Oryctolagus cuniculus: one gene and its partner. The protein of the gene in region 1 purifies or fractionates together with the protein of each later gene. This does not show direct contact. Links are inferred from orthologs where the notes say so. Each region holds a gene or a part of one and is shown on either strand. Other genes may lie near its edges. The genes, in order: RAB28 and PDE6D.

The links.
Region 2: the proteins of RAB28 (region 1) and PDE6D purify together in Homo sapiens (affinity purification with mass spectrometry; 3 studies listed by BioGRID and IntAct, with this or other methods). This does not show direct contact. The link is inferred for Oryctolagus cuniculus from reciprocal best matches to the Homo sapiens genes RAB28 and PDE6D.

The regions. Positions count from the first base shown.
Region 1 is NC_091433.1:8,526,461-8,531,012, forward strand, and holds the start of RAB28 (ras-related protein Rab-28), read right to left. Parts: upstream 2,980-4,552; 5' UTR 2,743-2,979; coding exon 2,668-2,742; intron 1-2,667.
Region 2 is NC_091434.1:7,549,518-7,553,938, forward strand, and holds the start of PDE6D (retinal rod rhodopsin-sensitive cGMP 3',5'-cyclic phosphodiesterase subunit delta), read left to right. Parts: upstream 1-1,417; 5' UTR 1,418-1,627; coding exon 1,628-1,677; exon of another isoform or gene 1,678-1,762; intron 1,763-4,421. UniProt on the Homo sapiens protein: Promotes the release of prenylated target proteins from cellular membranes. Modulates the activity of prenylated or palmitoylated Ras family members by regulating their subcellular location.

The DNA of each region.
Region 1 (4,552 bases):
AACTGGAACAGAGTATAAGCTGTCAAAAGTATAACTCATCGAGAACACACAAAGCATTCAATAGGTTTTTATTATATCATCTCCTGACATCTGGCTGTAAAAATTAAACAGAGAATCAATTTAATCAATGGGAAGCACTTCCTCTTCAATTATCTAGACTTCATGCCATCTTTCACATGCAATTAATTTCTCACAAGTCACTGCATAAATAACCTTCTTAAAGATTTATGAAGTGAACAATCAGCTTCCTCATCTAAACCATTTTTATCTGTATGTTTTTTGCTTGGAAAAGTGCTAACACTTTTTAATCATAATTCATTTACATTAAAAAGACAACCAAAAAACAATACTGTGCCTCAAAAACCCTAGGAAAATCTGTACTGAATCAGAGTAAAGATGAAATAGAAACATGTGTTAACAGAGGGAGGAGCTAGATTTCTCTTGGAGAAACTGTTAGTGGTTATCTCAATGCTGTATTCTATTCCTCTGTCAGTGTGTATAAAAATGCCCAGAGTTAGAGGTAGTAGGAAAAACTAATGCTAAAAAACTGACCAAACGTTATATTTGAATACAAACAGGGATGAAGAAGAGACTGAGTTCATAAAAGGACAGCAAAGAAAACAGAATAGGAAGGTTTGTGGCTGCCAATAATTTGCAACCTGAATAGCATATGGGGAAAAATGCACAATAAGGAATAATGGAAGGTTAAGTTTCAGATACTTGTGTTAGGAAATTTCCAGCAGAAAAAGATGTTACAGCTTTGAAGTAGAATATTTAATTAAGATGAAGATCAACTCAAAACACCATTAAAAAAGAACTATTATTCTATGAATGAAAATGACAGTCTTAATTCAATACTGGAAAAATTAGTATGTTGGTCAGGATTGTAAACTGAGATGAAAAATCATGATTATTCATATTAAATTAGCAACAGGGGGAAACATGCATGATAGTTTAAATAAAAACCTGGTTACAAAATTATGAACAAAGTTCAACTAATACATATGCAATAAATATTGGAAGAAAAATGAACAAAAGTTTAAAGAATTATGGAAGCATGTAGGATAATGGACACTTTTGAGGTTTTTTGAACACATGCATGTGTCATAGAAGGTCATAGTTTTAAATTAGAAATGAGCTCAGTTATGAATTGATGCAATAAGATTTAGGCGGTTTTCAAAAGAAAAATCTAAATGATGAGAAAACTGTTAAAAAAAACTATCTTTTTTACTGAAGCTCTTAGAGACAGTGCTGATTTACCTGCAACAATTTGTTCATTCAAAAAGTCTGTGTACAAAAACTCATAAAACGACCCCAAGTTCTTTTCTTCTCCAATACGTTTAAAGGGAATGCCAGCATAGTAAGTTGTTTTCCTCAGCAACAAAATCGATAACAACCTACCCAGGAGGGCAGGAATTCACCGCATGCTCCCAGTTGTGCACGCGAATGGCATCTTTCCCGGGGCTTTAGGAACTCAAATTTCAGAACCAAAGGCAGGAGCCACTGTGCAGCGCCAACTGCTCGCGAGGATGCACAGAAGCCGTCACCACAGAAACCGTGTGCAAACTACACCAGCACCCAGGCGACAGGAACCTGGCGGAAATAAGCACTTGCGTTTCTGAGGGCGGCTGGGCAGAAGGGAGGCACACGTTTGCAACATCCCCAGAAAAAGGGTTGGCGCCTTCGACAGACGCGACAGGTGTGCAGGCGCCCCAGGCACAGCCTCCTTGGAGAGCCTGCAGACCCTCTCTCCCCAGGCAGGTGTGGGGCCACAGTCATTCCGTTGCAGGAGTCCCCTAACCTCGGGCCAGGCACCCGCGCCCAGGGGGCTGAGCGACTGCGGGAGATTCTCACGCTCTCATTCATCCGCCCTGCACCGAGGGGAGGTGAGACTGCAAGACAGGGCTCTCTGCGTCACAGCTCCAGCTTCGCCCTGCGCTCTGCCCTCACCCTGTCCACACCAAGGGCTCAACAAGTGCTCGTCGGACAGGTGCTGTGCTGAACAGGTACCAGCAGCTGCGGCTTCACCGAGTGCACACCGAGTCCTGAAAGCCCTGTGTGTGTATTTGCACACGGAATGTGTATTTGCACATTGCACCCTTCGCGGTGACCCCTATCAATATCCATCTCACACATGGCGCACAAACAGCTTAGCGAGCCGCCCTCCAGTGACCCAACCAGCTAAGTGCCGGAGCTCCTCGTTCGCACCCGGGGAATCTGATTCCAGAGCCAAGCTCTGTGCACGGGGAGGCACCAGAAACGGGAAAGGGCGGGGAGGAGCAGGGTGTGACCCCGACTTGGAGTAAGAGGAGGCGAGATGCCTTGGGCGGATGCCTGCCAGTCCGAGAGGCGAGGAGCTGGACAGCTTCCCGGCGAGGCGAGGCTGGCCCGCGCCTTGAAGGAGTTCGAGATGCAGGCAGGGAGTTGGAAACGGGCTGGTTTATTTACTCATTTATTTATTTATTTATTTATTTTAAGGAGGGAGCTGGACAGCTCTCGTCGGCCTTAACCAAGCGCGCACTTCGTGTCTGCCCACAGGCCACGACCACACACGGGCCCCGGCCTACCGGCCCCGGAACTCGGGGTAGCGAGGCGACGCCGGGGGTGCGCCGGGGCCGCGCCGGGGGTCCTTCAGGCCTGGTTCGGCGGGCCCGCTCGAGGACTGACCTTCCCGGAGGTGCCGTCCCCCAGCACGACGATTTTCAGCTGCCGGTCCTGGCTCTCCTCCTCGGAGTCGGACATGGTGTCCCAGGAACCAGGCCTGCCCCCCCGAGGTGGAAGAAGGAAGGGAAGCAGGAGGCCTCCAGGGGCGGGGAACAGGCGGAAGGCAGGCAGTGGGGGCCGAACTCCCCGCCCCGGTGTCTCAGCAGCCACCGGAGGGATTCGGGGAGACTCGCTCGCCGGGCGCCATATTACCCGCCGCCCCGCCCCTCGGCGCGGGGCCCCGCCCCCTGCGCGTCACGCCGGGCGCGCGCCTCCGCCTCTGCGCCAACCCGCTCCGACCGCGAGTCCCCCAGGCGAGAGGGACCACCAGCCGGCCGGGGCTGGAGGCGGGGGAGTGTGGAGCGAGATGGTTGAGATACTACGCCGCCCTTGCAGGGGCAGTTGGATAAAAGAAAAGAAGAGAGCGCATCCTTCAAATTAAGTAGACAAGATGGGCTCAAAAGTTCTCTCGGAGGCGTTCATTCACATTCCCTTACTTCCCCGCGTGGAGAAGGTCCCTGAAGCTAATGGTTTAGTCCGAAGGGGCGGACGGGCGACGTCAGGATGTGCGCCCGGGTTGCCATGGAAGCCAAGAGTCTGGTGGGAAGGCGGCGGGGCGGGGCCTGTCTCTGGGCGCTCGCGACGCGCGTGGAAGGGCCTGGGGCTGGGACAGGCTCTCGAGGCGGCCAGCGTGGGACGGACTCTGGCCCTGCTAACTTTGTCCTCTGAAGTCCCAGGTTTCGTCGTGGGAGCTCGCGCCGTTTCCTGGTGCAAGATCTGTACCCCAGGGCGGCGGTTCCCCAAGTGGGAGGTCCCGAGTAAATCAAACTAAGTCTTCACGGTAATACAGACGCCCCGTTGGCCTTTTCCTCGTCCATGTTCTCGGAAGTTTGCGTTTTCCCGGAGGATACGTGTGTTTGACGTCATCACAGCCAAGGGAGCAAGTGCTTGTTACTCTGTTACGAAGCATTTCTCAATTCTATAGATCAGTGGTAGGTGTAAGCCAGATAAACAGAAGCTCTTTGGAGTCCATAGTTATTCTTGAAGCGTATAAAGGGGTCCTGAAGCCAAAAAAGAAAAATTGAGAACTGCTGCCTTGAATGATCTCAACCCAGGAGGGAAAGTAAATCACGTGACTGAAAATTGCAGTGTAGTGAGAAATGCTACAATAAAAAATGCCCGCCCACTACGTCTCACTGTTATTCATTTCACCAGGATTGACACCTTTACTCATAGAAGTCCTGCATTTCACACGTGAGGAAGCTCAAATCACCAGACAGTAGGCCTACAGAGACTATGGGGATCCAAACGGGAAAACCGTGCAGTGAGAAGCGCCCATCACCAGAGGCAGCACAGCAGCCCTAATCACAAACGCCTGCCAGGCAGAGTGTCTCTTCACCTGTCCTCAGGACCTGAATTACGATTAGTTTCCAGTTCGGTCCTCAGTTTTACCACCACCATCGTCACCGTCTTTATACATCACTGGAGTTGTTCATGAAAACTAGAATCCAAACTGTACTTGAATACATTCACATTCAAGTTTATTCTTTCATGAAGCTACGTGGACTATGGATAGACAGGTCTGGCTGATAGGATAATTTTCTGGGGCTGGCATTAAGGCACAGTAGGTTAAGCCACTGCCTGCATGCTGGCATCTCCACTTCCCATCCAGCTACCTGCTGATGCACCCAGGAAGGCAGCAGAAGATGGCTCAAGTGCTTGGGCCCCTTCCAGCCGCCTGGGAAACCCAGATGAAGTTCTAGGCTGCTGGCTTCAGCCTGACCCAGCCCTGGCTATTGCAGCCATTTGAGGAGTGAACCAGCAGATGGAAGATCGATATTTCTTGCTC
Region 2 (4,421 bases), on another chromosome or scaffold:
GAGCCCCCCGTGGCATACTGCTGTCACCTTGATGCCCTTTGTCACGCTCCATCCTGATTCTCAGTGGAGTCTCCCTAACTCAAATAGACGGTCATCTTTGTGGAGGCGGGGACCATGTCTTCTACCCACTAAGTGCCCGACAAATCACAGAAGCAGAAAGCACGTTTGTTGAATTACCCAGAAGGAAAAGCTGAGTGCAGAGGGTGACAAGCTGGTGAAAAGCTGGGTGCAGAGGGGGACGAGAGGAAGAAAGTCCTAGGAAAACACACAGAGCATCTCCCAGCAAGCCCGGGCTCACCCTGCGATTTTACCCACTTCCTGAAATCACATCAAATGTCACCTTGAGTGACAAAGAAAGAACAAATCAAAAGACCAAGTCCTACCAAAACAAATATCACACACTTCCTCATCTGCCAGAAATCCACCGAATAAATGCTTTACCCAACCTCTGGGTGTTCCAACCTTGGATGGGCAAACTACTCAACAAGGCGGGCAGTAATCGCACTGCCATACTGCTAAAAATATCACCTCCCAGGCTGCGGGCGACAGACTCGGGGCCGAATCCTAACTCTGCCCCAACTTGCAGTGACCTGAGGCCGGTCTCTCGCCTCTCTGGGCCTCAATTCCCTCGCACGTAAAAACAGCAGGGGCAGGATTAGCAAATTCTTTCAAGCACCTTCCCGTATTGACAGAGCACACAATCGATAGCTCTCCTGGTCCGAGGCAGGAACACACCAGAGGTCCCCGCAAAACACGCAAACGGCGCCCCCGTCCAACAAACAAGCACGGTTTGAAGAAGTCGTTTTGTTACATTCTTTCGTGGTTTAATCAGTGTTTTTGTTGTTTGCAACCTTACCATGATTTGCAGGCGATTTCTGAGTTCCATGTAAACAGAAGTTAATTCTCTGTGGGCTGTCATCGTCTTTCACCGGGCCACAGGGTCTTCCCGCCTGGTTTTCAGTCTCGGGATGCAGAAACCACCGACCTTGCCGGCAGGTTTACGAATTTGCGCACACTGCGCGGCACACTGGAGCCTAAGTTACAGAGCCTCGGGACGCGACGAATGCTGGGATTTGTAGTCCCTGGGCCTCTCTGCTGCGTGCTGGGATCTGTGGTCCCCTGGCGCTCTACTGGAATTCTGGGAAATGTAGTCCTCTGCCCCTTCGCACAATGCAACCTGCGGTCGTCTCAGGAGACTAGTGAGCCCAGCAGCAGGAGCAGGCCCCTAGAGCCTCTGCAGATGTCAAGCCAAGCCCCCACTGGGGCTAACTCTAGGCAACAACACCCAGTGAAAATTTTGTCCTATGGGACTTCTCGGGGAGGGCGCTTCCCATGGATGCTCTTCGTCCCCCTGCGAAGCCGCTGAGCGTTGCTATTGGCTGGTGAGAATGCCAATCGCCGAGGCGGGCTTTCCATTGGCTTAGGGGCGGGCGCTCCGAGACCAGAGGGAAGGAGAAGGATCAGGAGCGGGAGCTGAGGGGAGGGAGAGGCCGGTCCGGGTCTGGCCGCTGCCTCTGCTTGCCCGAGGTCTCCAGGCCGGGCTGCGGCTCTGTGCTCGCTTCCTGGGCACGGTCCGCGAGGCTCCGCAGGGCAGCGTGAGAGAGCCGCGGGCGGCGGCCGCCGCAACATGTCAGCCAAGGACGAGCGGGCCAGGGAGATCCTGAGAGGCTTCAAACTGTATCCGCCCGGGAGCGGGGAGGGGCCGGGAGGACTTGGGAGGCGGTCGCTCCCTGAGGAGACCGGCCGGGGACTGGGGCGCCAGGTGGGCCCCCGAGGAGAGGGGCAGCGAGGGGGGACAGGAAGGGGCCGAGGTCCCAGGCCCCGGCGCCACGGGGCGCGGGAGGCGGGCACGGGGGCGTCCTGAGGGCGGAGGGGGACGTTGGCGGGAGCCGCGGGCACGGGGGCGAAGGAGCCCCGGGGCCTGGGCTGCGAGGGGCGCCGGGCGCCGGCGAGGGGTGTCGGGAAGCGGGCTGGGCTCGGAGCTGCGGCCGGGAGGGGCCGCGGCCCGCCGGGGAGGGCTGAGGGGGCGCGGCGGGCTGGCCTCGAAGCCCGGCGGCGTCTTTGGCGGGAAGCCCGCCCGGGGGAGCAGAGAAGTGACTGGGAGTGAACGACCTTGCGTGGGACCAGCGCCGATGCCTGGCATTAAATACTCTCGCCCCCCCCCCTCCACGCCTCACCCCGCCTCACCCCGTCTGGTTGCCACAACTTCTTCTGCTCACTTGTGGCTTCCAGGGCTGGAGTAGCAGAGGGCGGTGGGGGGGCGGGCGCCGCTCGCCTCTCGGCCCCTCGGGTCTTCCCTGCAGCCCGGCGAGGACGCGGAGCTCGCGGGTGGTGGGATGCCTCCAGGTGCCTTGGCCGGGGTGCCTTAGGGGTGCCTGCCGCCGGGTCGTGGCGGAGCTGTCCAGCAAGGGTTGGCTTGCGCTGGGGACCCGGTCAGGTGTGAAGTCCCTGCCTCGGGCCTGGGTGGAGCCGGTAGTTAGAGAGCTTTGTGTTTTCGTGGAGGGTTAGTCTGGCCAATGTGATCTTGCATATTCCAATTTTACATTCTCCTACTGACCTTAATCTCTTCTTAGCACCCTATCCGTTCAGTGAGGAACATTCTTAAATATCGCTTTGGGTGAAAATACCGGCATCGCTTTGGGGCCCCTCCCCTGGGTGCTTAGCAAAGCACTGTTCTCTGACCCCCACCTGTCGGGTTGTCACAGTGCCCATTTCACCCCTACACATTTGAATTATTTTGTCATAGCCAGAAACCAAGTTGGTAGTAGAACACAGTGCGAGAAGAGGGTCAGGAGGTTTGGGATGTACAGATGAAAATCTCCAGTGGAATCCTGTTAGGCTTGTTTAAAAACCCAAGGCTGTGTTAGCCTTGCAGACTTCATCCGTGCTCAGCTTTCAGTACTTTCATGTGGTGGAGTTTAGGAACAACCTCTCAAAGCTCCATGTTCCCTTCTGGGTTTCTCTTCATAATGGAGCCTCGACAGGGATAGGCATAGCTCAAGTGTTCGGAGAGCTATGACATGGATTTTATTTTTTCTCTTGCATACTTTATACTTAACATATGTGTTGCAGACAGTAAACCAGAGAATTTGAGATTTTGGATTGCAATTAATGTATTTCTGAAAACCCGGAAGGTGGCTTTTGAGCAAGGCAGAAAAGGAATGCTTGAGCTTCTCACCATTCGTTCAGTCTTGGCTCTTGAACTTGTTGAGAAAGAAGCGGAGGACAAATATGAAAGAGTAGAGAGCAGGAGGTGTCAGCCCACTGGCAGGAATGGGGAATTAACCAGTTCAGCCGTGATGTTGCTGCGTCGACAAACAGGCTTTCAGGGAAAGTTTGAGTGGAGCTAAGTAAGCCCTGAGACAGGAGAGCAGCCGCATAAAGTTGGGAAGCAGTGAAGTGAGAGTGCTGGTCCTCCGTGTCCTTTACTGGCATCTGAGGATTAAGAGAGAAAAGGAAAGCAAGAACCATAGGATTTGCTGCCTTGGAATTCTAGCTTTACATTCCTGACCCCATATCCCTGCACAACTTCTGTAACCTCTACCTCAGTTTTCTCATGTAAAAATAAGAATAATAATACCTGGTTGTGAGATGAAATGAATTGATCTCCAAAGTATTCAGAAAAGCACCTGGTGTAAGCATCGTGTGCTAGCTATTGTTGCGAGAGAAATTCCAGATCATTTCTCTTGCATTTTAGTATTGATCCTTTGCCTATGAAGTATGTTGCAAGTATTTTTTTCTCAATGTATTGCTTGTCCCCTTCTTTTGTTGAACAGGATTTTTAAATTATCATTCCAGATTTATTAGTATTTCCTTCTTCTGCATGTGGCATATCGTTTAAAGAGAACTTCTTTATCCCAAGATTAATCAAATAGCCTGTTTTCTTCTCTTTTCAATATTTAGCTCCTCAGCCTAACTGCAGGGTGTTTACATGTGTGTGGTGGAGATCTAATCATTGCTTCCATAGTCGTCCCAGGACTATTCACTAAATAGCTGCTCTGTCCTTTCCTCACTGTTTTGAAATGCCATCTTTGTCTTATAGAAAGTTTCTATAAGAAATGGATTTTCTTTTTAGAATATTTCTATTTCATTGATCCATCTGTGCACATTTAGTTTAATTACTATAGTTTTATAGTATGACTTAGTATAGTCCGCAGAAGGATTGGCATTTCATGAACAGAGTACATGTGTTTAAAGTCATTGTAAAGGCCCCATAAATATTTGTGTTCCTTTTATTCACACAGAACATTGCCCATCTGTCCATTATACAAGTAGAAACCAAATAAATGTGAATTACAAATTACATAAATCAGATATGGTCAGAGAAAATTTAGTGTAAGCTTTTTTATTTGCCTTGTTATTTCAAAAATAAAATATTTGTAAGATTTCCATGTCATCTACACCCCACCATTTTTTAACTG